2 linked regions of the Styela clava genome follow. The protein of the gene in region 1 binds, or shares a complex with, the protein of each later gene. Links are inferred from orthologs where the notes say so. Each region holds a gene or a part of one and is shown on either strand. Other genes may lie near its edges.

Evidence for each region.
Region 2: DNA primase large subunit-like (region 1) and DNA primase small subunit-like share a complex: the UniProt entries of both Drosophila melanogaster proteins name them as parts of the alpha DNA polymerase complex. The link is inferred for Styela clava from reciprocal best matches to the Drosophila melanogaster genes Prim2 and Prim1.

What each region holds. Positions count from the first base shown.
Region 1 is NC_135261.1:19,106,277-19,123,296, reverse strand, and holds DNA primase large subunit-like, read left to right. Parts: upstream 1-8,119; 5' UTR 8,120-8,191; coding exon 8,192-9,736; 3' UTR 9,737-10,510; downstream 10,511-17,020. UniProt on the Drosophila melanogaster protein: Regulatory subunit of the DNA primase complex and component of the DNA polymerase alpha complex (also known as the alpha DNA polymerase-primase complex) which play an essential role in the initiation of DNA synthesis.
Region 2 is NC_135258.1:14,380,722-14,397,735, forward strand, and holds DNA primase small subunit-like, read left to right. Parts: upstream 1-10,732; 5' UTR 10,733-10,736; coding exon 10,737-12,044; 3' UTR 12,045-12,666; downstream 12,667-17,014. Other genes in the region: uncharacterized protein LOC120339509, read right to left, coding at 256-280; uncharacterized protein LOC120339549, read left to right, coding at 5,198-5,266, 5,341-5,577, 5,652-5,909, 6,316-7,320; thymidylate synthase-like, read left to right, coding at 9,158-10,165; large ribosomal subunit protein mL48-like, read left to right, coding at 12,675-12,818, 13,609-13,778, 14,134-14,338, 14,517-14,609; rho guanine nucleotide exchange factor 7-like, read right to left, coding at 14,655-14,751. UniProt on the Drosophila melanogaster protein: Catalytic subunit of the DNA primase complex and component of the DNA polymerase alpha complex (also known as the alpha DNA polymerase-primase complex) which play an essential role in the initiation of DNA synthesis.

The sequences.
Region 1 (17,020 bases):
AATAACAAGCAAGACGATGAATATGTATTTTTGATTTACTAATATCATTTGAATATATTTTTAATAAATACTAAATCAAGCTGTACTTTCTGGAAATGTATAGCAGATGCTTTCATCTTGTCGTAAGTTGACACCACCGCGAGTTGAACACTTTTAAATTAAAATGGAAATCATTTGAAATTCTCGTCGTTATCATGTATTGAATATTGTGCGACAATAAAGGCCATTATACACTAAAAAAGTCGGCTATTTTAACGATCGCGTAATTGCGGCGAATTTCCGATTTTGAAATTCGTTAAAATTCTGTTGTGTTTGGTTTTATTGCTTCTTCGCACAGAGTACGGTTGCAATAAACGCACCTTGAGACCGCAAAGGTTTTCGCCGGTGAGAAAATAGTCCGCGACCAAAAAAGGTTGGGAAACGCTGGTCTAGCGTTTGCCAAGTTTGTTAGTCCGGCAGAATCGGGCCTTAACATTGTTTTGGGACGTAAAGTTTTTTTTTATTGTTTAGATATAATGTCGATGACATAAATAATGATACCCAGATAGGTGTGGAGTATATAATGTTGAGCAATTTTTCTAAGTGGATTTTAAGTATTCGTACCAAGATGACGCACATCCTGAACCCTAACCTGGTACACATACAATGTTCAGGTTGTGCGCCATCTTGGTACAAATACTTCGGGAGCATCTTTTTGTTAAAAACAATTATTTCATAACCACATGGGTTAGTTTCGAATACATAGTAACATTGAATTTTCTTACGATGTCAGAAATTCAATTTTAGTAGAATAAATGGTAGTTTAATTCACTAATATAAGCCAAGATCCATCGACAGCATCTAGCTAGCCCCTTTCTTTTGCGCTCTTCAAACTACATTTGTGTTGCCGCTGCATTTCGTTTTCCTGCTTTAAGCTCAGGGACTTGGGAAATATTTTATTAGTTGAAATGGATTGGAATATTTGAACTCGTCTTTCACTCCGAACAAGGCCATGTAAAACCATCCACTGGTATCTAACGATGTGTAACGCGTTTTCTTTTGGAAGAACCGGAACCTTTCAGGTGCAGCATTGACTTTGGCCAAATTAATATATCCTAGTGGAGATAGAAGGTATGTGTGCGAAACCGAGATGTGCACCTGTTATGCCAACATAGTTGAGTCGAACAGTTTGATCACTAGTACATCACACACATTTCACACATGCATCAAATTCCACCTGTTATTGGGCTATAGGTTTTTGACAAGCTTTTGTGTATGATTTCATTCCATAGAATTTGTATGCTGTTCTAAAGAATACTAGTTTCAGCTTTTCATTCATTCAAACCATTTATGCATTTATTTATATCCAACACTTGACATCCTTAAATCGGTGATGCCAGTAAATCTTTAAAATACAAAAAGATTAGTATCATCTGCAATAAAAACAGCAGTACCCACTCAAATGACAGCTGAGGAATGAATACTCATATTATCTGTTCCATCGCGTGCCTCTTACCAGTTTACATGTGTGCCAATTGGTATCTAAGCTCAGCCAGAGACGAAAAGTTTCGGACTGCGGTTGGCGTGACGAAATGTTTTCAAATATATATTCTACAATAATATCATTTGATTGCATATTACTGAAAGTTACGCCCTATATGTGTTTTCCCATTGCACTATTCCTTCACTGATATTCGATAATATGACGCTCTTCTGACATAGTTTTTCAAGTGTGTAGATAGGTATAAACTTTTCCACGCTGTTCAGATGGGAATGCGCGAATAAATCTAAGAATCGCTAATATTGGTTTGCAATGCGATGAAATCGGTTCCATTACATTTGAACCCACGTACATTTGAACCCATGACAATTGCACCTGTATGCTATTGCACCTATGGAATTTTTTTTGTTTCACGGATAGTTAAACCCATACTAACCCTAACCCATGGGTTTTAGCACCCGCATGTAGATTGAACCCGTGGATATACGCATGGGTTCAAATGTACATGGGTTCAAATGTACGGTCACCGAGGAAATCCCATCTTGGCATTTCTGCCTCTCGCAATTGCGGCGTATATTATCGAAGAAGTCTGTCGCGTGGTTATTAAATGAAGAAAACATGGTATAACAGAGTATTTTTCCTACTTCTCTACTACTCTCACTCCTTGACATTTTGTGAAAACTTTTTTCCATTCAATCTTTTTTTAAAACATCCCCAGCAACCGCAATTAACTCTGTCATTAAACTTCCGAAACAAACACATAAAATCATGAACAGATGCATATCACCAAGTCCTAAGTAGATATATATTGCTAAATTGATCTTTATTTTACCATTTTTCATGTAATGCTTTTTGGTAAACTTGTTATCTATTGTAAAAACAGCACATTTGACAAGTGTTTGATTTGTTGTAGTGTAATTTTTTGGCCTCACATTTTTGATATTTGTAGTTAGACCTCTTGGGGCTCTGTCAAACAAAGTTACATACAAAATACTGGTTGTAAGTTGCAAAACATGATCATGCTGTTGGAATAACCTGGCATTTACCACCCGTATATCATTCATTGTCGAGAATAATAATTAAATCATAAAATCTAAAACCCGTTTTCGTGAATTTTTTGTTGTAGCTGAATTCGAGGAACAGCATGGCAACAGACAAGAGAAGCACGGTCGCCTCTTTTAGTTTATGATAGAGTTTCAAGGGGACCACGGCCTCCTTGGAGGCCCCTGATCGGTTATCGGATCGTCGTTATCATCCCGCTGCATAACAATTTTTACTAACAAATAATTGACTGTTCTCCAACGTGTGTATATCCACTTAAAACACTGCCGACTGCATTAGCAGGCTTGTATTGTTAATTGCAACAATAGCGGGCATTTTGAAATAGTACTCTTTCTTTTACGCATATGTTTCAACAGTATTTCCATATACATGGGTCGCGACTCGCGACCCAAAGCTGGGTTCAACAAATACCTAAAAGGTATTGATTTTATTTCCTAGTAAATTTGGTGCTTCCGTAGTTTGTGCACCAGAATGGCGCACAGCCTGAACATAGTATTGTAACAGGTTAGGGTTCAGGTTGTGCGCCATTAGGGTGCACAGATTTGACGAAATACACTAATACAAATATCAAGCCGTAAAAAAAATTGCTCAAGGCTGCAAAATCCACAGTCATGTAGAAATGATGGGCAATGACCCCAAGATGAATAATCACAAATAAAAAAAAAATTATGTCAGAAAACAAGGAGAAAAAATACTGCACACTTTTGTTTATTGTGAGTGAAATTTTCAATAACTTATATTGATCTGAATTTAAGCCTACTCTAAAAGAATCATGTGGATCTTATTAAGGCTGTAATTGGTAATCCAATAACTTTGCTCCATATGTAGTTTTCAGTTGTAATTTTCAGAATTTGTTTTAATTGTAATTTGCTAGTTTCTATTTTTTTGCAGTGTGTTCATCGAGTTGGATGCCAGAAATAGGGTTGGGACCCCGGGAAATCCCGGGATTCGGACTGTTTTTTTCAGTCCCGATCCCGCAATTATTTCCTAAAAATCCCGGGATTTACAATCCTCAGTATGAAGTTTGGAACAGACCACAGTCTGACGTTACAATCAGTACAGAATGCAGACAAGATACAACAAGTTTGCAGTGTGGAGGTAAAGTCTGGAGTTACAGTCGAAGCAAAAACGGTCGTAATCAGAGTTGATTGGGAAACTGAAAATAAAAATGTCAAACTTTGAAGAAGTCAGTGCTAAAAGAAAGTCAGAAGTCTGGAGAAACTTTTTATTTTGCAAAGATACAGAAAAAGCGAAGTGTAAATTGTGCCAAACAATTTTAAAAGCGTCTGGGTCGAACACGAAGGGACTTATAGTTCATTTGAAGTCAAAGCACGAGATTGAAGTGAAGTCTCGCACGAGCATGGAGGATCAGCCAAATCCCAAGATCAGAAAAATTGAGTCGTTCTTCAAGTCAAAAAAGTCAACATTGAGGTGCTAGTTGGTCAGTTAACTGCAGTGGATGGTCTTACATTTAATCAAATTGCCAAAAGTGAGAGGCTACATCAAGCGTTCAAAACTGATGGTTATACGCTGCCCAAATCACACAAACGTGTTCGTAGTCTGGTGATGGAAAACTTTGAAACCGTCAAGAAATTAGTCAAGGAAGAGTTTTGTGCAACCAAACTGAATAATGGTCGTTTTTCCATAACATTTGATGTTACAACATCCGCAAGAAATCGTCGTTACATGAACATTAATTGTCATTTTCAAGGTGGCTTTCATTCGCTGGGATTGATTCGCATCCACGGCAGCATGGACACACAAAAAGCAATCGACTTAGTTGGTAATCGACTAAACTCCTTTGGTCTCGACCTGAATACAGCTATTGTTTCCACAATCACTGATGGTGCTAGTTTGATGGTAAAATTTGGAAAAGAGACGGGTCCACTCCATGTGATCTGCTTTGCTCACGCGATTCATTTGGCCGTTTGTGACGTGTTATACAAAAGGCAACCGGTCGCAGTATGCTCTGATGAACTTGACTGTCACAGTGACAGTTCAGACGAAGATGACAACGACTCAGAACAACGCGAGGATTTCGGATTTTCTTTAACTTTATCTCCCAACCTTGACACATTGATCAAGAAAGTCAGAAACATCGTGAAAATATTCAGAAGGTCGCCTGTGAAAAATGATGATGCTCTTCAACCATTTGTCTTGAAGTCTTTTGGAAAGGAAATTACACTACTGCTCGACTACAAAACCCGATGGAACAGTTTGCTCTCAATGCTAGAGAGATTCTATCAGCTACGAAAAGAGGTAAAATTGGCTCTAGTTCGACTGGATATTGATTTTGACTTATCTGAAAATGACATGAAAATTATCGAGGGACTGTGTGATGCTCTTGCTCCCATAAAAGTTGCGTTACACTCTCCAGTGAAGATGCAGACATTCTTTTAGCAGAAAAAGTAATTGCATTTACTTTAAAGAAGCTTGGTGATCAGAAAACTGGAATCAGCCAGGCATTAAAAGACCGGTTCAAAGCACGAATTGAAGAACGGCGGAATGCTGAGTTGGTCCATCTATTGAAATATTTAAAAAGTCCGTCTTATCTTGATCAAGTTCAGGATCAATTTGGGCACAGAGTAAAGCGGCCCAGAATTGCTGCTCTGGCCATGGGCATCTTGCAGAGATTATTTCCTCAAGAGGCTTACAATGCGGGCTACATTGTGCATATTGATGTTGACAGTGAAATTCTTGACGAAGAAAAGAAAATGACTTTAGCAGAGTAATCCACAGTTTTGTGGAAGATGACGAAGTAGAAGACAGGCGACCTGGCAACCTGAGCTCTAGTGTAATTCAAAAAGAGATGGTACTGTATGAAACAAGCAAAAAGAGACCTGAAAACCTTGAAAAGTTGTACGCTGCCCTAAAAACAATTAAACCCACGTCCGTCGAGGCAGAAAGAGCGTTTTCTGCCCTTGGATTTTTCGCAAACAAAATAAGAAGTCGTATGAACGATAACACCCTAGATGCTTTAATATTTCTGCGTCGATATTACATGAAATAAATATGTGATTTTATTGTGATGCAACTTGTTTCAATCTTTTACTCAATCCCGAAAAAATCCCGGGATTTTACGGCTCAATCCCGGGGTATCCCGATACCATGATTTCAAAAACTAGTCCCTAAATCCCAACCCTAGCCAGAAAGATGAACGTTCGTGTTTTTATCCTTATTTATATGTTTGTTTGTGTAATATGTTTGAACTGGCATATGTATTTCCACATGTTTCATCCCTTTCTAGAGGTTTTTGCCAGTTTTCCCAATCTTCTTCATTGTTTTGTGTATGTTTTTTAGGCATGTTATGTATCGCCGAAATCAAAATAAACTTATAAAACAGAGCGAGAAATATCTACAGATTTTTTCTTGGGTTAAGGGTCAGGTAAACAACAACCATAGTTTGCGCGGGAAAGATTCTCACTAATATGAAGTCACAGCAGTGACGCAGAATTCAAGAATTTGTGATAAGAGTTAGGTACGGTACCGGTACTGTATCTTATTTATTATAATGTGTAATTATTGTAATGTGCGAACTAAATGGTGCGAAAACCCATCTCTAATGTCTGTATGTATTTCAGTAATTACTTGGTGGTGGAGGAAGCCGTAACCGACCAGCGGTTACGTGAACCACCCAACGACGGCGAGCAGTCCAGCAATCCTCTCGCACATAACCATCCCTGCATGGGATTCGAACCTGCGAACCCACGCAGAGTAATTAGAGGTGCGGTGGCGAGCGTATTCCTAACGCTTAGCCCGTTGAGCCACACCGCCGCGCCTGTACCGTACAGACATAATATTTTCAACACACAGAGTTTCTCTGAAATTATTAAAATGCATGATATAGTCTATGCATTATATAAAGCCTAAGTTAGAATAGTTTATTCAGGTGTATCCATTTCCCGATTTCTTAAAAATGCCAATCTAATGATTATTTGTCCTACTGTCCTATGTGTATGGAAGTCATGAGTCCAGATGACTAGATGAAGTCATTTTTTCTATAGACCTGTAGATCCTACTGCCCTGTGACGGTTCAACTGTAAAGAATTCACTATTTACAGAAATTAAGGTATCAGGAACTTATCAATTTTTAATAAATGAGGCTGAGCTGCCGAGAGTTGAAGTTTACTGTAGTAAATTTCACTTTACTGCTTTACCACACTGACTATTGTATAATGCTGTTTTTGTATAATCTCACTAATGTTTCATCAATAGTCTGATAGCACACAATGAGTTTGTCGGTAAAATTATAGGGTCTAGTATAGTTAAGTACCACAAGTACTTCCAGTGGGCGTAGCATAACGATTTTTGCATATGTTATTCCTAACTCTCACCTGACTATGCCATCCATTACGTCACCATCACGTCATAGGGATTGCCAAAGTATAATTACGATCGCCCGAAATGGAATCTGCGCCGCCGATAAGAACTTGCTAAAGCCGGCGATCTCTCTCCTATCGTGATCGTTGCGACGAGAAAACGAGAGAAATCGCTTGCTCGATTTCGGGTTATCGTCTGCGCGTTTTGGACGACCATCCGCATACTTCGATGGGCCTTATTACGCCACTGTGACGTCGGAATGACGTAATTTTTCGGTGACGTAGTCAGGTGGGGGTTAGGATTGACATATGCAAAAATTGTTGAGCCAGGCCAACTAGAAGTCGATGTGGTACTAAACTATACCAGACCCAACTTATAGACCAAACATTGGTAAACCCAATGGGACAAGAGAGAGAGTTTATTATTTTTGTTTTGATTGGGAGATGGCGATACGGCCAAAGGTCATCAAAGTCAGCCACCACCCATTCCAGCCAAATACGGCTGTTTCAGTACAGCACACTATCCAAATTCCAAGAATTTCCCTCCATTTGGCTCAATAAAACAAACCTCTGTGTCTCACAAACGAGGGGCGTCTGGGACTACGTCAGATGTTTCATATCGCGCCATGCTTGTCTCAATAATAATCTAAATTAATCGCGGCTGTCACATGACCAAAATTGCCGTTTTTTGCTAAAAACTCTCGAATGCTTCGGTAAAAAAATTTTTTCTTTGGTAAATCGGATTATTTGTTCCCAAAGAATTCAATGCTGACGTTACTAGATTGCGCTTTTTTGTAGTATTTTGCGCAACTTCGTTATACTGTATTATTACCAATATTGAGGGACGGGATGTTACCCGATTTGTATAGTGTGCCGTTTTGTGTTTGGGTAATACAATCTGGCCCACCTGATGCTGCTAAACTAAACTACAGAACTAACACCAAAGTTTGATGTTGAAGGTAAAAAATAGATCAAAGAATTTGTTTGGATTGCGTTTAAATTTAGTTTTGAGACGAGGCTTATTGTTTTCCACTTTTGCTTTTGTAACACTGTAAATATTATTCATAAAATGTAACTTTTGTGTCACACTTACATGGCCCAGGTCCAAAAACCTTGCCCACTGCTGTTATAGACCCTTATCCTATGCACATTTTATCCATAATATTCAGAGTGAGTCCAGTTAAAAATGTGAATTGCTTAATTGAGCAAGGCAATAATGAACTATACCAACCCAAATGGATTTTAGTTAAAGTTAATTGAATGCCATAATGGTTGCTTGTTTTTCAGTTTTTGTATTTATTGTAATAGCAGTTTCTTCAAAACCTAAAAAATGCAGTTTGGTGGAACACCCAAACCATCTGCTTCTAGAAGAAAGCGACTTCGATTGGCGGATGGCTTATCTGATGACCTTTACCCTCACGGTTTAATGATGTATAACAGACCACCAATGTGCAACATCACCCTCCAAGAATTTGAATCATTTGCATATGATAGAGTAAAAGTTTTGCACTATTTGGATTCATTAGGAGTGTCTTATGTCAAAAATAGTCCAGATTACTGCCAAAAACTTGGAGACTATTTAAGAAAAAATTATGTTGGGTTTACATTAACATCTGAGCCATCGAAAGATACAGAAGAAAGGAATTTAGAATGGCGTCGTAAGGATCACATTTCCCACTTTATTCTCAGACTGGCGTATTGTCGTTCCGATGAACTTCGTCGTTGGTTTTTGGAAAAAGAGGTGGATTTATTCAAATATCGATTTAATTGTGAATCAACGTCAAGTATCAAACAATTTTTAATGTTGAATGATATGACTTATTATCCAATCTCAGAGGAGGAAAAAGAAAAGTTTTCTGCGCATCTAAAATTGATATCCTACGATATGACTCAGTCTAAGGTCCAGTCAACTAACTTTTATAAAGTTCCTTTCACTGATGTTTTGAATCTTGTATCATCACGTCGTGTGTTTATCAACTCAGGTTATGCCTATGTTCCACAGTCAGAGTTGATATCCATCATTAGCACACGTTTTCGTGAACACCTATCTAAAGCTTTAGCTCAGACTTCAAGATCACTACCTGAGTTAGAAGAGGATGATAGACTCTTGCCTATACTTAGGGGATTCAATAAAAACACTCTTGCTGAAGCATACGATCCAAACAAAAATGCTGGCAAAGTATCTATCAAGCAAATTGATGAATTATCTAAAATCTCATTTCCATTATGTATGCGGCAATTGCATCAAGTTTTGCGTGAGACTCATCATCATAAGCACTGGGCTCGTTTGCAGTATGGACTTTTCTTAAAGGGCATAGGTGTTACTCTTGAGGAATCAATTAAATTCTGGAAAGCTGAATTTAGTAAAGGAGTTGGGGAAGAAAAATTCAACAAAGAGTATTCCTATAATTTCCGACATATGTTTGGTCGTGAAGGTAAAAGAACAAATTATGCTCCTTATGGTTGCATGAATATTATAATGAAAAATGTACCAGCACCTGGTGAACACCACGGTTGCCCTTTCAAACACTCATCTCCAGAACTCTTAAAACAACGCCTCCATCACTATAAAATACCAAAAGACTCAATTGACGAGATCATTAAACTAATGAAAAGCCAGCATTATCAAATTGCTTGTACAAAATACTATGAGGTGACACACAAAGTTGATGAAGCAGGTTTTCAACTTAACCATCCAAACCAATACTTTGATGAAAGTCAAATGCTCTTGAAAGGTGAGAAAAAGACCACCGGGCTGAAACCTAGTCAAGGAAATGCAGAATTTACTCCGAAGTGGTCACAACCAGTTCCTGAATCTCAAACTGAAGAATCAGAAATGGAATTGGATGCCCTAATGACAGAAGTTGATGTTTAAACTGCTGGAAATAATATTACAGCCAATATTAATTGATGTTTATTTATCAATATGTTAAATCATACTTTATATTTCTCAACATATTTTGTGCAGCAAACTATGGTGTGAATGTATGACCAACCGTGAGCCACAGGTTCAAGTCATGATCATGAATGGCCCAGGATTGCAATTCTGGAATATGTAAATTACAATTTATATGATTAAAGGAGAACAACTGTTTTTTCTATTGTCACTGATGTTTAGACTCTGTAGTTTATAGACATTGGGAAGGTTTGAAGTTGAGTATATGAGAAATTCACATGTTATTGTGGCTTGTGCTAATGGAACTTTATTTGCATCCTTTAAAACAGGGGTAGGCAAATTACAGCCCGTTGGCCAGATCTGACCCACTTGTCTGCTGAAATTATGATTATAGTCTTTATAAATATATGTTTCTGTTGAGAATATCGATGATAATCACGTCATAATGACCCCGATCGTTCAATTGTGCTCATTATAAAAACGTTAGCAAAGTTGTTGGACTAGCTGTTGTGAATAAACGGTTTTTCATTCATAGTTTTTTTCATATATATGGACATATTGAGCCTCCAGCTCAGTACTGAAGCCTATTATCTGTAACTTGCCCATCAAGAAAAGTTAATTGCCTACCCCTGCTTTAAAAGAATATTCAATGATAAAATGCGATGTATTTTTGCAGTTTACCTAATACTATATTGCTGAAAAATATGACAAACAGTTTAAATATGGCATGCTAACTTTCAAGTTGGTCAGAAATCATGTGTCTTGAGAACGCTTCATTAGACAAACAATAGACAATAAGTTTATTTCGTCGTGCAATTAGTATGGATGCTAACCGCTGAGACAGCTATGCCTTTGAAGTGATTTGTGACACATGCCACAGGTTATTCATTTTACTAGTTTATACAACCTGATATAAACATATTCCATCATAGCTAATTTTATCGAATTACGTACGTTTCCCTAAAAAATAAAACCAACGTTTTTTGCGCTTGTTGGCGCTTTCGTTCTCTCGCATGAACTTGTAGGATACAGAATTTTCGACGCTCTATAAGTATAATAAGTATAAGTTTATTTCGACTCCATAATCAGCATAACAATACATTTGACAGATAAAAACAAATAAATAAAAACTGATTATGAAATCAGGGGAGCAAACAAAACCTTAGATAAGGTTTATAACGTACAAAATATAAGATGGAAGGTTTTGCCAAGAGGAAGTGGTACGTGTTTACTCACCTAAAATTATTAAGTTATTTCACACACGCTCACATGCACCCACCAGCCACACACGCAACCACTGAGAATTTATTTAAGTAAGAATAAGACGCAATAAATTTAGGGTATACTATACAGTAAACAAAAAAAAAAATAAATAAATAAATACAAGAAAAGAAAAAAAAAATTTTCTGCCACACCATATTGATATTTTTGTAATGATTGCCATTGCCGAATTGATCGATCTTCTAATCGTTGATTAAGATATAAAAGGAAGATTCTATTGAAAACATATTGCCAAGCTGATTATAGTTGGAGTCAAATGCCAAGTTGCCCAACCAAAGTTGCCAGAATTGGGTGCATGAAGAGGTGGGCGAGACCATTTCATTCCCCAAATTAGAGCCTATTATTGCCAAATTATAGTCCAGATTGTAGTAAGTAATTAAAGTTACCGGTAACACTAAAATTACTATAATTAAGTAAAGTAGGATGTGGAAATAAATTGGTTACAAAGGGTGTAAGTGAGGTTTTTCATTCTTGGGTATTGATTTCAGACAAGGATATAGGAATAAGGTTGTTATTTCACAGGATATCGGAGTCTTTTTTTGATTTTTTTCTTATGTGTTTTACTTCATTTAATCACTTTGAAGTAACCTGAAAAACAAAAAATAAAACTGCGAGTAGATGTTTCAATGATTAGGTGAAGGGGAACGCTCTGAACTATTTATTACAGGCAAAAAATAATTGTTTAATTAAATGGGATGTATTGTCATTGTATAGCGATGGATAGATGATCTATGATGACATTCTGCTTGGGACAGAGAGAAATTTATCACACCATGCAAAAAACACACAAAATTTTACTATCTATACCTTGGCCAACAAGTCAACTCAAACACCATGCCCTAACATAAAACGCATGCATACATAAATGATATAAAAACCACATCCAATTACAATGACCCACAGCAAATTAAAATCTGAAGGGGAGAAACCAACATAGCTCTACTGCTCGCCTAGTTGCAATAATTAGTAACCTTGCAGGAACAATATTGTACTATCTACAACCCTTATACCACCACTCAAACATAAGACCAAGCGTGTATGATAAGGACATCACAGCTAGAAAAAGATAAAAACACGAGCGTGAAGTGATAGAATGTGTGCAGTTATTTAAAGAAAATATCATCCGGGTACGTTAGCTACCTATATATTTAAAAAAATATATATATATACTCAAGCATGTCACAATACCATTTCTTTGGTGCTGGACTAGTTCTGGCCAAGTCGTGGCAAGATATAACAATATTATTATAGCTGTTCAACATTTTCATTAAAACAATAATGTGCAAGTGTGGAGTGTCCCAAGTTTTTGTCATCGAATACCACCAGTAGTAATTTTTAATATTTGGAAACTAAATGAGACTTGACTTGTTTTTGAAAAGATTTTTTGGACTTTAAGGTCTTCAAATTTAAGGGAAGAGAATTCCAAAGTTTGGGTCCAGTAAAAGACAAGGAATGCTGACTCACGGATTTACTCATGAAAGGTACGAATAAATCAGAACTGCTTCTTCGATTGGAGGTATTTTTGACAAGTATGTCATTAAAGCAATTGGGCAGCGCATTATTATGGAAGTCGTGAGCTAGAGATAATATTTCAAATTTCATCATATCTTCAACCTTAAGTATATTTAGTGATTTGAAGTAAGATTCTACACTTTCACGTTTTCTTTTACCAAAAACTATTCTTAAAAAATTATTACAAATACTCTGCAGTTTTGAGACAAGTGTTTTATTACCATGAAGCCAGACTGAACAACAATATCGAATATGGCTAAGTAGTAATGATTGAAACATTGCTAGTAGAGCTGATTGATCAACACACTGGGATACTTTGGCAGAAACTGCTAGGTTTCTTTTTGTTTTACCAATAACATGCATTATTTGTGATTTCCATGACAGATTTTCATCAAAGATAACTCCTAGAAATTTTATTTCTTTCACTCTTTCAATTTCATTGCCATTGAGCAGTAGTTTTTTTGAACAACTCACACTTTTATGCTTGCTTGGATGGAATAATACAAATTTAGTTTTGTTAGCATTCAGAGATAATTTATTAACTAACATCCAGCTACGAATGTTGGTTAGTTCTTGGTTTGCAACTGTGAATAGATCTTCAAGGTTTTCCCCATGAAGAATCAAGTTAGTGTCATCAGCAAACATGATCGACTCAGAGGATTTCAGACACCTGGACATGTCATTAATGTAAGCTAGAAAAAATAATGGGCCAAGTAAAGATCCTTGTGGAACTCCGTGCTTCATGACACAAATATTTGTAGAGAATGAATTGTCATATTGCACAATTTGCTTCCTGTCTTGAAGGTAGCTCTTGATCCAATTGAATGGAACGCCTCTAATTCCATAGTGATAGAGCTTACTTAAGAGGATGGAATGGTCAATGGTGTCAAAAGCTTTTGAGATATCAAGAAATATTCCAATTGCATGTTGTTTGTATTCAAACGCATTGGTCAGTTTGTGTACCAAAACATTAGCAGCCATAGCAGTGGAGTGATGCTTGCGGAAACCAAATTGATGCGAGTGGAAAACATTGTTAGTTTCAAAGTAGTTTGACATTCTACTATACATTATTTTTTCAAGAATCTTAGAAAATGATGGTAAAAGACTAATAGGTCTATAGTTTCCAAGATCTGAAACACTACCCTTTTTAAAGAGAGGAAGAACTTTGGATGTCTTGAAGCTTTCAATGAATAATCCACTAGATAGTGAAAGATTAAATATATATGTCAGGATATCAATAATATGTTCTGGAACATATTTCAATATTTTGAATGGAATACCATCGATTCCAAAACTTGACTTGGGCTTCATATCGCGTATAATATTTTTTATTTCTAATGATGTAGCTGGCCTTAAGAACATGGATGAGGATTCTTGCTTCCCAAGATATGAAATGTAATTTTTGTCACAGCCAGCTGGTTGTGGCATACAGTCAAGCAGGCTTTGTGCCACTTGGGAAAAGTGTTCATTAAATTTATTTGCAGTTTGTGTATTACTGCAATCAAATCCAATCAAAGGACAAGAATTTGTTTTATTTTTACCAATAAGTTCATTAATTGTTTTCCACACTGCCTTGATGTTGCCTTTGTGAGAAGCAAATTTAGATTTGTAATAATTTGATTTCTTTTTGTGGAGCAATCGAGTATAAAGGTTCCTGCATTCATTGAACTGTAATTTGTGCTTGTCATTTATGTTTTTATTGTTTATTAATTTCTTATAAAGTTTTTGTTTGACTTTGTTTAGTTTGCGTAACTCAGTATCATACCAAGGTTTGTTTGATCTGTCTGTTTGTTTTTTGTAAGGAAAAGATTGAGAGTAAGCAGTGGAGAATTTTTCAAAAAAAATTTCAAAGCAAGTGTTGGGATCCTCGATGCTGCTGAAGTCATCAATATCAATAGAATTCAGTTCATTCATAAAAGTATTCAAGTTGGACGAAGTAAACTGGCGATAAAGCGTTTCAATTCTGGTCTGAATTTGCTTTTCTAGAAGAGAGCATTGTACAATCGGCAGATGATCAGAAACACATTCTGCTAAAACAGCACTGTTAATTTTTTTATCATATACGTTTGTCCAGATGTGGTCTATACAGGTAGCAGAACTTGAAGTTATCCTGGTGGGGCAGTTTATCAAAGAATAATAGGCCATGTTGTGCATAATATCAACAAATAGGCTGGTATTCATATTGGACTCATCAATAAGATTATAGTTGAAGTCACCCATTATATAATTATAATTCAACCTGTTCATCTTTGAGAGAACTTGGGACAAGAGATTCCGAAAGTTAGCATTGTTCAATTCATCAGTTAGTGGTGATCTATAAATAGTACCGCAGGTTATTGTTTTATTTTCCAATGATATGTCAATGAATATAGATTCAAAAACCTTTTCGCACATTATAGTAATATCTTTGCGGACAATGTATTTCAAATCATTTCGAATGTAGAGACCAACACCACCACCTCGGTGATGAGATCTACTATTAGAGATAAAAACATAGCCATCCAGTGCATTGAAATGGCCATTTGTACCAGATACAATCCATGTTTCATTTACAGCAATTACATGAGGCTTACAATTCAGTGAATTAACTAGTGCTTCAAATTTTGTGAAGTTTTTGAAAGAGGCTAAAGATCTGATATTGATGGAGAGAGTCATGAAACCACTTAGTTTAAGGCTGTCGTTGAATTTAAGGGCATTGACATCACTGGAGCAGATATATTGATTTGAGCAATTGTACAAGAAAACACTATCAATGTTGTTGAATTCATCAGTATCAGTATTGGCTGGTTCAAGAAACAGTTTGTTGAGGTATTCAGGATCAAGAATTTTGGCAAGTGCCTGGGCTTCAGCTTTTTCTGTATGAAGGGGAACAAATAACTCAGATATTTCAGAAGCAGAGAGACAAGAGAATGGCATACAGTCTATTTCACAAAGGAAACAGCACCAAGGTATTTCATCAGCTTCAGATTCAAGGTTTTCATATTGTTGTCCAGAAATATTGGTACATTTTAAATGTATCCAAGAAGAACAAATGTCACAATAAAGACCTTTTTGATTGATTCGAACTGATTTGTGGCAATTTCTACATGGGTATTTTAAATTAGTTTTCATGGCAGTGGCACAACAAAATAAAAGTAAAAATAAAAATGAATAAATAAGTCAAATATCTAGTCTGGCTATATAGGTTTCCAGATGTTTGAAAGATGGAGAACCATTGATTAGACAGCACTAGCCTATTTAAATAAGAAAAATGGAGATTAGGAATGAGTTAATCGTTCCCCGCTGCTCATAGGCTACCGTCTTGAGGTTGGTCCCACTGAACGGGCAGCAGCCTTGGAGTAGAGGGAACGAGAGAGAGTAGTGATATCATTTAAGGAAGATATTACTCGCCTTTTATCTAGGTAAGCGTAGATAATCCCATTCATTGTGCTCACTTTTTGTTTTCCGAAGGCTTCCTTGGCAGCGCTGAGTAGCTTGAGCCTGCTACGGGTCAAGGACTCAGTGATGGACAATCCGCTGCCTTTGAGTTCTTTTTTTCTACCATACACCATATTCTTCGTTGATCTTCTGACGAATTTGATGATGATGGGGTTCTTCGGAGATCTTGATTTTAATTTGTGAGTAATATCAATGTCAGTGTTCACAATAGGATGGTTGGGTTTAAGGCTGTCGTTGAGAGTTTTCACTACCAAGTCTTCGAACTTATGGTATTCAGTTTCTGGCACAGAACTACAGCCATGGAGAATCACACAGTTTCTTCGGCTGTATTGTTCTAAATCGTCCTGTTGCTTTTCACAAATCTCCAGCCTGCTAATAATCTCCTGGATCTTGGAGGAGATTTGAGCCACGTCATTCTGGAACTTAATGATATCCTGGGACTGGTTGCCATGGTCTTTAGAGGCAGATAATAGAGTTGCATGTGACATTAGCTCTTCTTGCTTGGCCTGAAGAGATGAGATAGCTGCCAGAATCTGGGTTTGGACTTCCTTGTTCATCTTTAAGTAACGTTAGTGCAGTAGTGTGATTGATTGCAAGGTAAAATTAGGTAGGTATGCAGATAGTATATCCAGTAAGATCCACTTACAATAATAGTACAGAAGGTAGTAGGCTATCGTACTTTCAGTCTAATCAAAGATTACAATAACATCTGCAAACTTAAACAGGGAATAATATGGAGTTATCCAATGTTGTTCGCCTACTTTACATCAAGTTGTATAAAGGGACTGAAAGCTATGGGCAGGGGGTATGTATATTCACTTGGCTAACAAAGACAGTCCCCGGGCTCGTAATAGAACTAAAATGAGGAAAATCGGAATAGAATTATGGCCTAACCTGGTACATATACTACAGGAGTACCGAGTTTTCTATATTTATACAGGGGACTTACAGCTTAATCGTGTGTCGAACCACGACCTCGCACATGATTGATTGTTCTCACGTAAATTTGATTTATTGGAAAACAATATCATC
Region 2 (17,014 bases), on another chromosome or scaffold:
TGATGTATACCACAATAATTTTCATTCATTTACTTATATGTCATTGTTGTTGTAAGATAATATACGAAATTTTGTTGTATAAAAACCGCTAAAAAATTTGAAAGTTTTTCTGAATTTGTGTTATCGATTTAACGGCACTCAAAAAAAAAATTTCTTTTCACTTCACTAATTTACCAAGAATGTATATAACTACTTTACCATTGTATACAAATGTCAATTTTCCGTATTGCCTAGAAGAAATATAGTTTGACATACCTACAAATATAATATGTTTCGCCATTTTATGTACGTAATTTTCTTCAATAGATTTCAATTGGTGCCGTCGAGAAAAATCCCAGATGCTGAATGAATGTCGTTCGGCAATGTTCTATGCTTTTATAGATTTGGTCAGTTCCGGCCCAGTCTGCAAAATAATGAATACATGACGGCATACACTTTTAAAACAACCAATCATAAAATAACTTTCGCAATATCTTCGCTTTCATGTTTGTGCTCGCGTGGGTGACACAACAGATATTTTAAGTCTCATATTATGCGTTGTTTATTTCTTATATTATGCGTTGTTGTTTTTTAGGGAGCGTTATTGTTTTTTAGTGACCATGGTGATTGTTTCTTTATTGGTCAGTCGAATTAATAATTAACAGTGCTGTGAAATTCTCCTTACTGGTAAATTTATTGATATACGCAGTGCTCTTGTTTGTCTGTCTAACACTTGCCCTAACTTAGAACCTTTTTGCAATGGTTATCCACCTGTCTGACGTGTTGATCGTAAAACTAATATTCTCCATGGAAATGATGTATTTATATGAAACACAGGAACGTATGCCTGCACGCCGCATCGGATACGAGTGTAGACAGGCGCAAATGTTTGAGTTGTTGAGCTGACGTGTGGTTATAACGTCACACCAAGATGAAAATGTTTCCGTTGCCGGGTTACAAGATATGCAGGCTACCCATATGCAAACGTTGAGATGCCAACGTGATACAAGATAATCAAAGTTTAGACAGGGTCCCAATTTTGTCCACCTCGCCAAAATATGTGAGATCCTGCTTTAAGAAAACACAAGAGCGAAGCTTGATCAGACATTTGTATTTGCCTAATTCGGGTCATTGATAGGTTACTATTGGACCTACCCAGACAACAATGTTTCTCGGCTGGCTGGCAAACTCGATTCATCGTTATAGGTACGGATATGTATTGCTTATTAGAAGAATGGTTATTACATCCTTAGCTCCGAGTACAAAACAGACTTCGATGTAAAGAGAAATTGCCCTACGACCAACAAACAAACACACTGATCTAATCCTCACCTAGTGGTTACTGATGTTCATGCCGAAAATATTACTACGACTGCTGCTTTTGCAATGAAATCACATAACCTAGTATTGTATGTACAGAACATAGTGGACTGAATTTATGGATTGTTGATGAGGTGTCTCAAAAATGTCGCTTACAACACTATTGTAATTGACTCGTAGGCCTACTTGTCCCACACTTTTCCCAAACTTGTCTCACAATTATCCCAATTGTGTATAGGGGAGAGTGGGGCACGGTGGCCCATGGGGCACAGTGGTCCAATCCATCCACTAGCGACACCGGTGGTCGTACCGGGCACGTGACCAAACTGAAAAAAGTCACGGTCAAGCCTGTCCTCTAGGAAATTTATTTGCGCCGGTAGGTCGTATTGGAAAAAGTTAGGAGACTTTCGTTGTTTTTAGGGGGCCAAAGTAAAAATAAATTGCCGGAGTTTTTTTCTTCTAAACTGCAGCCCGCATGACTTTTGTCGCCCATATTGGCATGCCAGGTAGGTGCCCCACAGTGGCTTATGACGGGGTATAAGATAGATCGGCACTCTAGCCTACTTGTCGTGAGAGGATCAATTATCCCAAAATGGTGAGCTTGGGCACAGTGGGACATCAACCACGAGTACACACTGGGGCGTGTCCCACTGAACCCCTCCACAGCTCTGTAGGGTTTGAGGGACCTAGAGTAGCCTACCTTCTGTCCCCGCTCCTGCTTGCTAGTTGCAATGTTGGATTGTCTTCCTATTTCAGAGCAATCCTAATTGATTTAAATAAACAACTAGCAAAATGCCACGTAAAAGGAAAAGAAAAACCTCCATAGGACAGATCGATCCATTGGTTATGAAGAGAGCAGCGGAGCAGGTGATTCATGAAGACAAAAAACTGCGTACAACTGCAAGAGAAAATGCCATTCCCAAAACAACCCTATCAAGGTACGTCAAAAACTGAAGTTTATGTCAGAAAGTTCTGTGTCCGACTCAGCGCCCTCAGATAGCCTCGAGTATTTTCGTCCTAACTACACGGTAAGAAGAATATTTTCGGATGAGGAAGAAGGTGAGCTTTCGAGTTATCTGCTACAGGCATCCAGACACCACTACGGGCTTCGAAAAGACGAGGTTCGAGAGCTAGCGTATAAAATGGCAGTTAAAAATGGAACAAACATTCCGCGGTCATGGGTTGAGACCCTTGCAGGAAGCGACTGGCTGTACGGATTCATGCAGCGTCATCCTAAACTCTCTCTGCGCAAACCAGAAGCCACAAGTTTGTCGAGAGCTACCAGTTTCAACAGGAAAAATGTTGGCGAATTCTTTGATAACCTTGATTCCGTAATGAAGCGTAACAAGTTTGAGCCAAATTCCATATATAACATGGACGAAACCGGGTTAACTACCGTTCAAGTGCCGTCCAAGATCATTGCCGAAACAGGTATAAAGCAAGTGGGAAAGATTACTTCGGCCGAAAGGGGACTTCTTGTGACAATGATAGGATCAGTCAATGCACTAGGAAACTCCATACCTCCGTGCTTCATTTTTCCTAGAGTCAACTTCAGAGAACATATGCTGAGAGGTGCGCCACTTGGTGCAGCTGGGTTTGCAAACAAATCTGGTTGGATAAATTCAGAAATCTTTCTTTCATGGATGAAACATTTCGTAAAACATGCAAACTGCACACCTTCAACTCCCGCACTATTACTAATGGACAACTACAAGAGTCACATCACGATTGATTCTCTCAATTACGCAAAGGAAAATGGTCTGGTTCTCCTCACATTTCCACCCCACTGTAGTCACAAACTACAGCCTCTGGACAGGTCAGTATACGGGCCGCTGAAACATTACTACAATAACGCCGTTGATGCGTGGCTAACTCTTCCAGAACATGCAGGCAAAACTCTAACGATATACGATATCGCCGGAGTTGCTAAAACAGCATACATTCGCGCGTTCACGCCTGAAAATATTCCGTCGGGATTTCGGGTGTCTGGAATATTTCCGTTTGATCGAGATATATTTGGCGACCATGAGTTCTTGTCTTCCTTTGTTACAGATCGCCCAGAACCAAAAGAAGATGATAGCGAAGAGTGTCAGGCTGCGCCAAGCAACGCCGATGTAAGCTCTTTGCCTGGGACCTCCGGCACTACTGCACATTTCTCACCAGAAGATGTCAGACCGTTCAACAAAGCCTGTCCGCGAAGAAAAAAGTGTGGGAGAAAGAGCTCAAAGACGCTAGTTCTCACGGATACGCCGGTGAAAGAGGCTTTAACAGCTAAATTGACTAACTCACAATCCAAAATCAAAAGCTCTAAAAAGAACCCCAAGCAAAAGAAGGCTGCGCCACCTGCTGAAACGAGCAGTGATGAATCATCTGTCCCCTTGAATGACGATAGCGATCTGGAAAGTGAAGTTGATTCGCGTGTAGACGATAGTGTAGATCGAGTGGCAGCTGTGGGGGATTTTGCCATTATTAAATTCAGTAGAAGGCGTGGTGGAAACGCGTTGCATTACGTCGGTAAAATTCTTGACAAGGACGACGACGAGAAGGAATTTGAAGTTATATTTATGCAAAGAATCCCGTCGAAAGCAACAAATTCCGCTTTTGTTTTCCCCGAAGACGAAGAAAGCACATTCGGGCTGGATGAAGAAGATGTAGTCTGTCGCCTTGAAGCTCCAGTTAAAGTTGGCGGCACGGCAAGAGCTTCCAGACACTACCGATTTAATGAAGATCTCACACAATGGAATATCCAGTAGCTTTGAAGGACGAATAAGGGCTCGATATTTCAGCAAAATTTCTTTCCTGATGGTGTTTTGTTCTTTATAAATTATTTCCTCCTCAGTGTCCCACTGTGATCCAACCACCGTCCCACTGTATACCGACGTCGGGGCACAGTGGGACAAATTTTTTTTTTTAAAAAACCTGGCTCACAGGAAAAATATTCCCATTGAGCAAATTCTTTGGTAAGAAATAAAAAGTTCGTTTCTCTTACAATGTAGTCATATGATTTAGAAGTTGAAATAGCGTAGTAAATAGTTCGAAAATCGCCAAAGAAAAAATGAGGGCCACTGTGCCCCACTCTCCCCTATCCAACTTCATATGAATATTCCAACTTTCTGCCAGAGTATTATTATATCTATTCTAACACAGAACATAGCATGAATTCCACTTCCTATAGTCACTTCAACGATAACTCTACTGTGATGATGGACTCGTATCAAATCGCACGAAACTGATAGAGCAAGTAGCTACTGATCGCAGTTGATGGTGTTTTTCTTTGTGATATCACAAAGTAAAATTGCACGAATACTGAAAGTTTTATCACATAAATGATATTCAATAACAAAATCGTTTCTACTAACATACTTCCATATGTCCGAAGTACGCTGCATATCTCTTGCAGTAGAATGACCTATGCTTTCTCGGTCTGTGAATAATATCCATACGATACCAGGATACGATCACGCAAAATTGCTTTTGAACCATTGGGACGTAGTCACGTAACTTGCTCAAATTATAACTTATCACCTCAAACTCCACGCTGCAATTAACCGGTAAATTTTATCCGATAACATGTTTCTCTTGTACGAGTTTTTCTCGTGGCTCATTTTCGAACAAAAGTACAATTGAAAAATGCGAGTATTCACAAATCAAACTCTATCAAATACTGGTCGAAACCAACTTTAATACAAATGACGTCATCGAACATGATGCCATCGTATTGTCATCGCTTAATAAAAGTCCAGATAAAAACTCTGAAGTGGAACACCAGACAAAAAATTATCACGAGACAAGTACAACATGCTTGTGACGTCATAATACATCAAATACTTCGACAAAATGAAATCAACAAAAAAGATTATATTATTACCAAAACCCATATGTTTGACATCTATTGGCGATGGTATTTGAAAATATGATGAATATATGTACTGGACGATTTACAATCACCAGGGCAAGGTCGGAGAAGGTAAGTCTCTTACGACGACAGTAGGAAAGGAAGTATTTACGTAATTTTAGTGCACGTAATAATATTTGTTGCAGATTTCATTCTTCGTGTACCTATTGCACCTGCTTGCATGCGCCACTTTATGGGGCATCTTGTTGGTTTGGGGAATTCTCAATCAGCTAGTTGAATCCGGCGTGATTGATCAAGATGAATTTTACGGAATATTCAAAGATTTCAATGTCATCTTCCACCTATCAACTATTCGCATTGACGTCGGCGATGTTTCAGCAATCTTTCTCGTCGTTTTTGCAACTATGCTGGAGACAATTTCGGTAAGTATATAGACAATAATTTGCAACAAAATCTTAAAACCATCGATCACAATACTCTATTATTTGACACACAGGTATTCGGAATATGTGGGGCGATACGTGTTAACCGAAGACGAAGAATTCGTGATGATTCTCCAGACATATTCGTTGAGCCAAAAACTTCATTGTGTTCTATCATTTTTCTGAGAATTGTCATTGTGATTTGTCTTGCTTTGGGTGGAATGTCATTGGCTGTTAGCGATCCACTAATGAGTCACATGGTATCTGCGATGTCCTCTGTGATAACCGGAAGCATAGGATCAACAAATATAAAAGCGATGGATATTTACCAGGTCAGTCAATTATATATATTATCGGACACGAAATAGACTCATGGCCGTTTTGCCTAATAGTTGTTGTTTTTCTTGCTGAGGCTGTGTCTTATTTTTAGTGTTATGATAAATTGACATTCTTAGCAAGTAATAGACCTATCAAATTTTCATTGCTTGAAGACGAAAAGAGTCGCCAATGCTTCTGATTTAGCTTATGGATGGCGTTGAGAATTTAGTGTCTGGCGTGCGGCAAAGATGAATAGAAACATAGACGTCGCTCAGCGAAACTTTGGTCAAAGATTTATGTCATATTCCACCTTTTTTTGAATATTAGTGTCGGGTATCGGCATTATATGAAATGGCGGCTAATCTGTGCAACCCATAGCGGCTTCAGAGGTTAGAGCATAATTTTTTTTTATATATTCAGAGCGTGTTTCAGTGCTGTGGTGCCAAATCTCCAAAAGACTGGATTCAAGTCGATAAGGAAAACGGAATCGTCTACGATTGGATCCCCCAGTCATGCTGTATTAACTCTTCGGACTGCTCGATATCTCCAAGAAACGTAATTCTTGATGTTTCTTCTACTGCTATCTCAATGACTACGGCCAATCCTGGCATGGGCACCTCAATTCCGTTTTCCCTTGGAAACGATGCTACATTTGATTTTGTTCAAACCCAGATTTACGATAGGGGATGTGACACTGCTATTCAATCTTTCCTAACCTTACACAGTTTGTTGCTATTTGCATCAGCATTCATACTGATTTTATTGCACACATCCTGGGTTATTTGGCGCCGAAATGCTGGACTTCCGTACCTATGTTGTGAATTCAATCGTAGAAAAAATCGAGTTCTACCTATTCATCTCGAAGTTAACGGTAGTCCGACGAGTTCAAATGAAAGCCTATTTTTCTTGCAAAATAAGCTCATAAACAACATCAGCAGCAGTGAAAGCTTTCAACTCATTAATGTCCCAGAGAGTTCGGAGAGTAACCACATAGTTATGAAAAAGCCTGGACCACCGTCAATAACGCGAGTAGGACAGGATATAGCAATTTCTCCCTTAGAAAATCTTCGTTCATCTTTCACTAATAAGGATGAAACGAAATACAGGCCACGCACGTCGAGAGCAAGGCCAAAAACAGGCATTAGTCGATCTGCAGGAAACTTGCCACGTAATGTTTCAAGGATGCTTGAGGAAACTATGTCAGGACATCGACCGCCAACGCCTGCTAAATTGCCTCAACAAGTGATGGTAGTTCATGGTGATAATGAAGATGCTGACACTTTCGAACCTGCTCATTTCTCTGGGCCTGCTTCAAGCAAAGACACATGGGCAACGGCTGTCAATGTTGAAGTTCCCAACACCAAGCGACAAAATGACGACGACAAGCTTTCGATTTATAGCATTGACAGCCTCGAAGGATGGTAAACCATGCCTCATATCTTATATAGCGGGCGCTACCACGCGATGCGGTGCTGAATTTACTTGTTTTTATTTAATGATATTACTCGCATAATAAATAAAAAAATTCATTGGAAAAGCATATAATTTTACTTACAAAATGGGCAGGTTATAAGAAAAATAAATTTCCTTGATCGCTAAAAACCTGCATCATCAATTTCCATCCAGCACTCGTTTATCTAATAAGTGCTTAATTACTAAAGTTATCACTTCTTACTCCAACAGCGGTTGACCCGTTGTTTCTTTCGTGTAGATCAGAGGTGACGAACCTGCGGCCCACGAAGCATTCTGGCAATTCAGTGTATGTTTGGAGTAAAGTCACAAACCTCCATGAACTGTACAGAGAGAATGGGAGCGCAAGTGTTACCGTATTCATATTACTGGCAACAACACTATTTCCAACACATCTATTTTTTTGGATCATCGATACCTCTAACAATGGATCAAAATGACCATTGTCGTAGCATAGTTACGCTCTCTTATCGGCAAACGCATACGGTTTAATAGAGAAGGAGTAATCTCACTTTATGAAAATGCTCAATGAATAAAACAATGGTAGAAAGTACATGGTACAGTACATTAAAAATTGATTTTGCAATAATACGCAGGTAGTAAACTCAAACTTTCGTGTTAAAAATGCTGTGGTATTCGAAAGGGAATTTGGATCTGGAACATCCGAGCCGAGCGTTTATATTGCATTATATAATTGAATAACATCAGCTGTATTGATGCCGTTGTTCGTTTAGTAGATGAAAATCAACAGGTATCATACGGTAGTACGACTATAAATTGTGCGGCCCGCTCACTCAGCGGTGACTGATAAAGTGGCCCGCTACAGCAAATTGGTTCGTCACCCCTGGTGTAGATTCTCTTCTCCATCTGCCTTGCATATTTTCCTTCACTTTCATCTCACTTTTGGTTCTATTTCCATTTCATGTATGTAGGCTACTTTAAATACTAATACCACGTGTCACATATTCAGAATCCTATATTTATACAAACATGGCATATAATCATAATAATCTTGGCACATTTTTATCAAGTTCTAAAATCCAGATTGTTGAATTATAAAATATATACCTGTTTCGACGGGAACTTAGCAGTGACATATTCTATTTAAGAATGGCGCAGTTTGTTCTTTTCTCTTTTTTACTTTGATTAATCATCGTAAGGATGTCGCATAGCTTGTAATAGATTAGTATAGTATTTTCTGAAAGTGCGAGACTTTTTTAGAAGAAGTATACTATCCAGATGAGGCTGGGCCATTTCAAAAATAGCATTTTCGTAGGACATGGCGCGTGGCAAACCCCATACTTCAACGTTCGAGACGAATGTGAAGAATTGATTAAAATATTGAGCATTGAACGTTAGATCCTATTATGAAGAATATAAGGTATTCGTATTTCACAAATTGAATAATCGTCCATACACTAATCGGATAAATTAGATTTTCAACATTGCTTGTAAACAACGTTTTCGTAGTTTGGAGGAGAGGGATGAGATTTTTAATTATATTTGCTATACTGGTCTTATGACAAATGATGATTTTGAAAAAGCTAATCAGTTTATATTTAAAAAATTATGTAAAAACTCCCAATATAAGCAAAAATATCGCACTAGTAAGTTACGCCTAAATGTCAAATTGACGAAATAAAACAAACCAGTCGCCGGAGCGCGAACGTGATGTGAGTATGTGAAAGGGTAGTTTGAGTTTCTTCGCGCGCTTTTACAGTCTTAGGAATTAGGATTCTAGATTCGTCAGGTAATTCTGTGAATCAATAATCTTTTACGGTAGAACTGTAGTATGGAAAATCAGCCACCTGTTTCTTCGCAAATGATGCCCATGGAAGTAGCACCAGAAGAAATCCGCAAACATGGTACCGGTACGCCTCTCGCACAAATCAATCCAAATTGCCCTAGCAAATGTACAGAAACGACATCAGAAGAACAACACGGCGAGTATGAATACCTCAACTTATGCAGAAGGATATTGTCTAAGGGTAAAATAAAGGGAGATAGAACCGGCACAGGAACAATATCTTTGTTTGGTGCTCAAATGCGTTATGACTTGAGAGAAAGTTTCCCGTTGTTGACCACCAAACGTGTCTTTTGGAAAGGTGTTCTAGAAGAATTACTTTGGTTTATAAGAGGCAGCACCAATGGAAATGAATTATCTTCTAAAGGAGTTCGAATATGGGATGCCAACGGCTCTCGTGAGTTTCTCGATAAATTGGGATTTCATGATCGTGAAGTTGGAGATCTGGGACCTGTTTATGGGTTTCAATGGAGACATTTTGGCGCTGAATATGTTGACATGAACACTGATTATACTGGGAAAGGTGTTGATCAGCTTTCTCAAGTAATAGAAACAATTAAAAAGGATCCAGACAACAGGAGAATTATGATGTGTGCCTGGAATGTTACAGACATACCAAAAATGGCCTTGCCTCCATGTCATGCAATGTGCCAGTTTTATGTGTGTGATGGAGAACTATCATGCCAACTTTATCAGAGATCAGCAGATATGGGGCTTGGTGTGCCTTTCAATATCGCTAGCTATTCCCTTCTTACATACATGATCGCTCATATTACAGGCTTAAAACCTGGCGATTTCGTACACACAATAGGAGATGCTCATGTATACAGCAATCATGTTGAACCTCTCAATGAACAGTTAAAACGTGTACCTCGACCATTTCCACTTCTTAAAATAAAAAGACAAATATCAAATATTGATGATTTCAAATATGAAGATTTTGAGCTGGTAAACTATAAACCTCATGGCAAAATTGCAATGAAAATGGCTGTTTGACCAAGGCACACTTGCTAAAGAGTCTTAGACATACACGAGCTATTTGGTGTCAGCACGAACAAGATTATGAACATTTATTTACTATAAATATTTCAGAAACTGCTTACCTATTAAATAATGCAGATATCTGAATAGATTATTTGATAAGTATAGAATGGCCATCCACGATTTTCAGTTGTACACCAGGGTTTTATATTTGTACCATACAATTTTGTACAATACAAAAATGTGTAATCTAAATATGGTTAGATAATCTAAAAATTGACTTTTTAGTCTTGGTACAAAAAATAATACAATCATGTAACTAAATCATGGAAATGTTAAGAAGTGAAGCTGTAAACCAATCATACCAATTTAGGATGCAAAATAAGCACTTCTTCTGTTAGAGCTTTGTAGCCCAAACTTGAAAGTGTTTATTGTACATTCCAGATATACACATTCCTTGCCGCAAGTGGTTATTTATGTCATGTATAGTTTTTGTTGTTATTGTGTCTATTTATCAGTTTACAATTTGTATATTGTTCTTTTTTCAGTATAAAAACACCAAATTTGAATATTCTCTAAACTGGTTATGTCTGAAGAAAAGGAAATCGAAGTTAAAAAAGAAACAACAAATCAAGAGGAATTTGCTTATGACGCATCAAGTCTACCAAGCTTGCTTCCAATTTATTATAAACTCTTGTTTCCTTATGGGCCGTTCTATTCTTGGTTGAGTTACGGAGGTCTCAATAAAACTACATTTTCAAACCGGGAATTTTCGTTCACTTTACAGAATGATATTTATGTTCGATACCAATCTTTTACAAGTCAGCAAGAAATGGAGAAAGAAATCCAGAAAATGAAACCTCACAAAATTGACATTGGAGCCATATTTTCCCATCCACCAAAAGATCATAATAAATATCATAGCGGCATTTTTAAACCTCTAGAAAAAGAACTTGTGTTTGACATTGATATGACTGATTACGATGACGTTAGAAAATGTTGTCAAGGAGCTGATATTTGTACAAAATGTTGGCCTCTTATGACAATGGCTATTAAATTGATTGATAGAGCCCTGAGAGAGGATTTTGGATTCATGCATCGACTGTGGATATATTCTGGTAGACGTGGAGTCCATTGCTGGGTATGTGACGACAAAGTACGAAAATTGCCGAATAAAGCAAGATCTGCGATCGTGGACTACTTGAGTGTGATTCAAGGTGGTAATTTGGAGAAAAGAGTTAATCTTAAAGATCCAGTCCACCCGTTTTTAAGACATTGTATAACCACAATATCGAAGCAGCATTGGGAGGAATACCGACAGGCACAAGAAATTCTTGAAACCCCTTCAGACGTTGAAAAAGTACTAAAAATGGTTCCTGATGCTGAAATGAAGGAAAAATTGAAAACGGAATTTAATAACGATAATCGTACAACTGAAACTAGATGGGAAAGAATAAGAAAAGCCACTGCTGAAAGATATCAAGAAGACATGAAAAAATATCGTAAGCTTCGTTACACGCCACAAGAAATTATGCTAGAATTTTGTTATCCTCGTCTCGATGCCAACGTCAGCACAAGTATTAATCACTTGTTAAAGAGTCCTTTTTCTGTTCATCCTAAAACCGGACGTGTTTGTGTACCAATTGATATAGATAGCGTTGATGATTTCGACCCTTTTGCTGTCCCGACTATCAGCCAACTTTGCCACGAGTTAGACTCACAAAAAGCAGAAAAAACAGAAGACAATTCTGACGGTTCCACTAGAAAGATCCACCTTTATAAAACAACAAGTATCAAAAAACACGTCAAGATTTTTGAAGATTTCGTTAACAAATTATTAGCAGATAGCCGTAAGGAAAAACTTAATCAGAAAGATGCAACAATGGATTTTTGATTGTTTTTATATTGAAACTGATTATTCTCAATCATAATTTTTGTTAGCTAGCAAATTGTTAGCGGACAGTCGTAAGGAAATACCTAATCAGAAAGATTTATATGAACTTTAGATTGTTGTTCGCGTTGACACTGTTTATTCTCAATCATAACTTTTGGTATCTGGATTTGACATGTTGGTAAATTGTAAACAATGTGCTGCTGCAGGTTTTGTTAATATTGGTTTCATTTAGGAAAGAACACTAGGGCTCTAATCAACTTGATAGACCTAATTTTAGCACCCGAACCTCAGAAACACTGCCGATTGGTCATTAGGAAGATATAGTACTGACCATTCAATAACTCCGTGTGGCCTAAAGCATAAAAATTGACCCAGACAAAATAAGCCCCAACCCCTACAAAGCTTCTTGGTAGAATTTTCCCCGGAGACCACCAAAAAATAGAAGATCCCAATTACTTAGTTGTTTAATATTATTTAAAATATGTCAATTTAGCTATAAAATACATATTTTGTAACTCTTTCCACACAATATAGTAAAAATTGTCTATATCCCCATTGGGTGGTTGTCGTGTTTCTAATTGCATAACAATACTGTAAATAATTTTTCACTTTTTTCCTTAGATTTTAAATATGACTTCTAGAATTTCTTATACAATTTTACGTGGAATTTGTAGCAGAGGTTTATGTACAAGTGCTGCACGTCTTGGTTTTCTTCCACATGATCTTTTAAGAAGTGATATGCTCAGTTTGAGCGGCCTTGTCAAGCAAAAAAAGGTAAATTTGAAATGCCTATATACCTTACGCTAGGACAGCGCTGTCTGTGAAAATGCACAGTAGAGGGAAATCAAATTTTGAAAATGAATACTTGACGTATTGATTTCTATTATACGTTATTGACTCTGGAGAAAAATAATGATTTCAGCTCTACGGCGACATGTTATTAATAGGAATTGATTTACGTGTTCGAATCCCATTCAGGGATAGTTAAGTGCGATAGGATTCTTGGACTTCTCACCGCCGTAGGGTTATTCACGCTACCACTGGTCGGTTACGGCTTCCTCCACGATCAGGTCCATGCTTCCAAAAACAAACAACTGACTACTGATCAAATTGAAAAGCCTTTATCCAATCAATTTTGCAGCAAATTCTTGATATTATCTATTTAATACCATAACAATGGTGAATCAACTAAGAAGACACAAATTTATAAATAAAAAACTTGCCTGGGATGAACTAATTATATGATACTGCAGCAAGTGTAAAGATAACTATTCTAAGTGATCCGAGAGTCTTAATTTACACCAAAACAAATAATATAACAGAAATATATTTGTGTTGGTGTGGAGCAAGAATCTATGAATCACTTGGAATAGTTATAGACTTATAGTAAAAAAAAAAAGCTGAATAGCAATAATTTTGAACCAAGTCTATATTAAATTTTTTACCGAATTTTCCAAATACCCAAAATCTTGGACCATCGTTTACTAAAATAATGTTTTTGTAGGTCTTGAGAAACAAAAAAAATTTTGGACCATCTTTTATTAAAATAATCCTGTTTTTGTAGGTCTTGAGAAAGAAAAAACAGGAACAACTTGCTGCTGATGAGAGCAATGCTGCTTATTCTTACGGTCCCCTCAATGTTTCAGTTGAAGGTTATGATATGGTTGTTATAGAAAAATTTGCTCAAAACATCCATCGATTATTGCTGCAGGAAAAAGTTGACGTCAGAGAAGTGTGAGACAATGTTTTAAATGATTTATTGGCTTTTCATAAATGTATAAATTCATTTCCATGATCTTGAATAACAAAGTTTAAAGTAAAAAAAATCTCAAGATGACATTTGATAAAAATCTGTTTTGTGGTATTAACACTAAGTAAAGAATGGTCAAACAACAAAAATAATACATTCTCAGGTGTAGTTGCTTATTCTGAACATGTCATATTTTTTACATACCCGTATATTAACAAAGAGAGGTTATGATTCGAAAAGATTCAGGCCTCTCATAGAACTAAACCAAAACAGAAGGAATGTAATGCCCTTGAAGCTCGGCGTACTACAAGGCTACTCTGTAAGTTTAATTTTCTTCAGGTATGCATTACCGACCGAACATTTAGCAGTGAAGCAGGTTGGCCAAAAATTGACAAAAGAAGTGCAGCAAATGGACAGAGTTGCCGAGCTACCGGTACATGCCAGAGTTCTACAGATTCAAGGCCTGCAGTCTACCTTGGCACCTATTTTATTGCAAACGATTGCTTGCGATATTCCTCCAGGTGTCAAGCTTACGGTTAATAAGGTATAAATTTATATTTTCAAGTCTATTTGTCACAATTAAGGCAGTTATTGCTGGGAAAATAACGATAATTTAATCATGTAAATGCTTAGCAAGCGATTGGAAAACTTGTACTTTTTAATATATTAAACTGATAAATAAAAGCAAAAATGGCAAACACTATTTCACATTGTTTTTGCAGCACACTGAAGAAGATCGTCTGAAGAGATATAAACCAAATAAAGAGCTGGAAGCTGAAAAGCTTAATCTTTCTAAACTTCTGGCCGCACGTTAACATCAAATGAATACTCTTTTATTAAGTCTCATCTTGAGAAATGTGCTAAGAATTTGAGTTCAAATATCTTTCCTGCTCTGTTTTAACAGATGACGTTCGTCTCACAGATGATGATGTTGAGTCGCCTGTTGTTTTAGCAGCTCTGTAACATGAAATTTCTTGTTTAATAATAAATAATGTTGAGTCTAGCTTTTTCCTGATTCTTGGTCAGGTTGTGCAAAACAGTTTCATTATTATTATTGAATCATTTTCTATACAAACAAGTGAATTAGGATTATCTTCAATTACAAAATACAATGTAGTATGAGCATTGCTTACAGTTTGGTCAGAATAATCACCAGTTTTGTCTAGCAATAAATAATAAAACATGCAAAAAGCTTTGATTTCAGATCAAGGTTTCAACAAACTGTCGGCTTTAAGATCAATCCAAAGTAGTAAAACTGGAAACTGAATTATTGGTTTTAGTGCTTATGGAAACCCTTTTAGCTCTTTTGATGGGATAACTGCAAAACCTTAAGCATGATGGGTGTCTCTTTAACTATTAAAGCAATACAAATCTGCTACAATTTCAAATACTTTCTCTGGCAAGCAGGGCTGGGAGACATGACATTTAGCTGCGGCCCGGAGCTAGCAATAAATTGCCTAGCTAGCAATAATTTTTTATACCTTATTGAAATAGTAATTTCCAAAGAGTTTTGAAATTGGCACTCGTGTTTTATGGTGGTGGCCGTACAAAAAATACGTCTATGGAGGCAGTATCAATGTGATCAGCCCTGCATGCTAGCATTTATAATTGTACCTATTTTCCATATTGCCTTCTTTAGCTAGCGTATTACCCAATCAAGACAAGATTTCTATGTTTTGTTATATTGAGGATAAAGTTAAATGAATACAAGTCATAGCATTCAGTCCAAAGCAAAATTATACGGTGGTAAATAAAAGAAGGAACAAATCAAAAGAAGAAGATTGACAAAGGAACAGAAAAAACTGCAGTACTGGCTGTTACTGCATGGTAAAATAGCTATATGGCAAAATTAGATAAGTACTAAGAGCATTATTGAACATCATAACATAACATGGGAAACAGAATTGGAGTGCTAGCACAGATATCACCAATGTAGGCAAAATCACAATTACCCGCTAATTGACGAGCACACATAGTTGATTATGATTTCAATTCAGAACCTAATATTTCAATTCGGTCATCACATACAGATATCAAATTATTAATATCAACACAGTTGATGAAACAGAATTTGGAATGCTCGCACAGATACCACCCATGTAGGCAGAATCACATAACTCGCAATTAGCGCTAAATAAGAGCACACATGGTTAAATATGATTTCAATTCAGGACCTAATAATTCAATTTGATTGGCGTCGTCACACAAAAATATCAAATCATTATTATCAATACAGTGGAGCTGTGCTGTAAACTCTTCAAAATCAATACCCAATTAAATCACACCAGAAAGTGGAATCATCACAAATTGTGTTAGTGTGATCACAATCAATAAAGAGCCGAAACCATGACATTTTGTTGGAAATGTAGTTAGCAGGAGGAAAAAAATCGTTTTTCAAGCCTTTTTTTTATTTCACATACTTGGAAAACTTTGATTAATTTTAAATTTTGGGCCAATTGTTCAATGATACTGGTCAGAAAGTCAATCTCTATGGAGCTGTCCAAGCATCTCAGCCCTGCAAGTAAGACAATGCATGTGAAAAGTGGATTCAACTTTAACCCTAACCAACACAAGCTGAGTGAAACATGGTTAGGGTAAGAAATAATGTTTTGCTGAATTATCAGTATGTAATTATGAAAACCTATTGAAGCTTAACATAAATAGCAAACAATTAACAAAATTTTGCTGAAACTTAACTTAAAAGCATGCAAAAGAAGGTATACATCATACATGTGGCAAAATGAATGAACTAAAACAAGTTATGCATAATTCGTGAAATATAAGAAACACAAAATTAATATGAGCATGCTAAATGAAAATAAATATTTGGTCCACAAGAAATGTATGAACAAAATTTCAACTAAAAGTATCAACACATTCAAAAAGCCAAAGCTTGCAGGGAATTGTCATATTTTTGCAATCTTTTTTCTCATCCACACATTTCTTCACATCACAGGGTGACCCCGAAAACAGAACCCATAAATTTCTGTGCTACTTCTACAAAAATGAAGGAAATTTTTTGTTCCAAATTACTTCGATTCTGGGTCACCTTGTGCAAATTATTACAAATGCTCTGCAGGTATTGATGATAATCCAAAATTCATTTAATCATGTTTGCTATCATATAAACATTGCATTTTTGTCACTTGTAATTGTTATGAAAGCATGAAACCACCAAACTTTTCTCAATTGAAGATAATTAGCATTTAACAAATTAGCA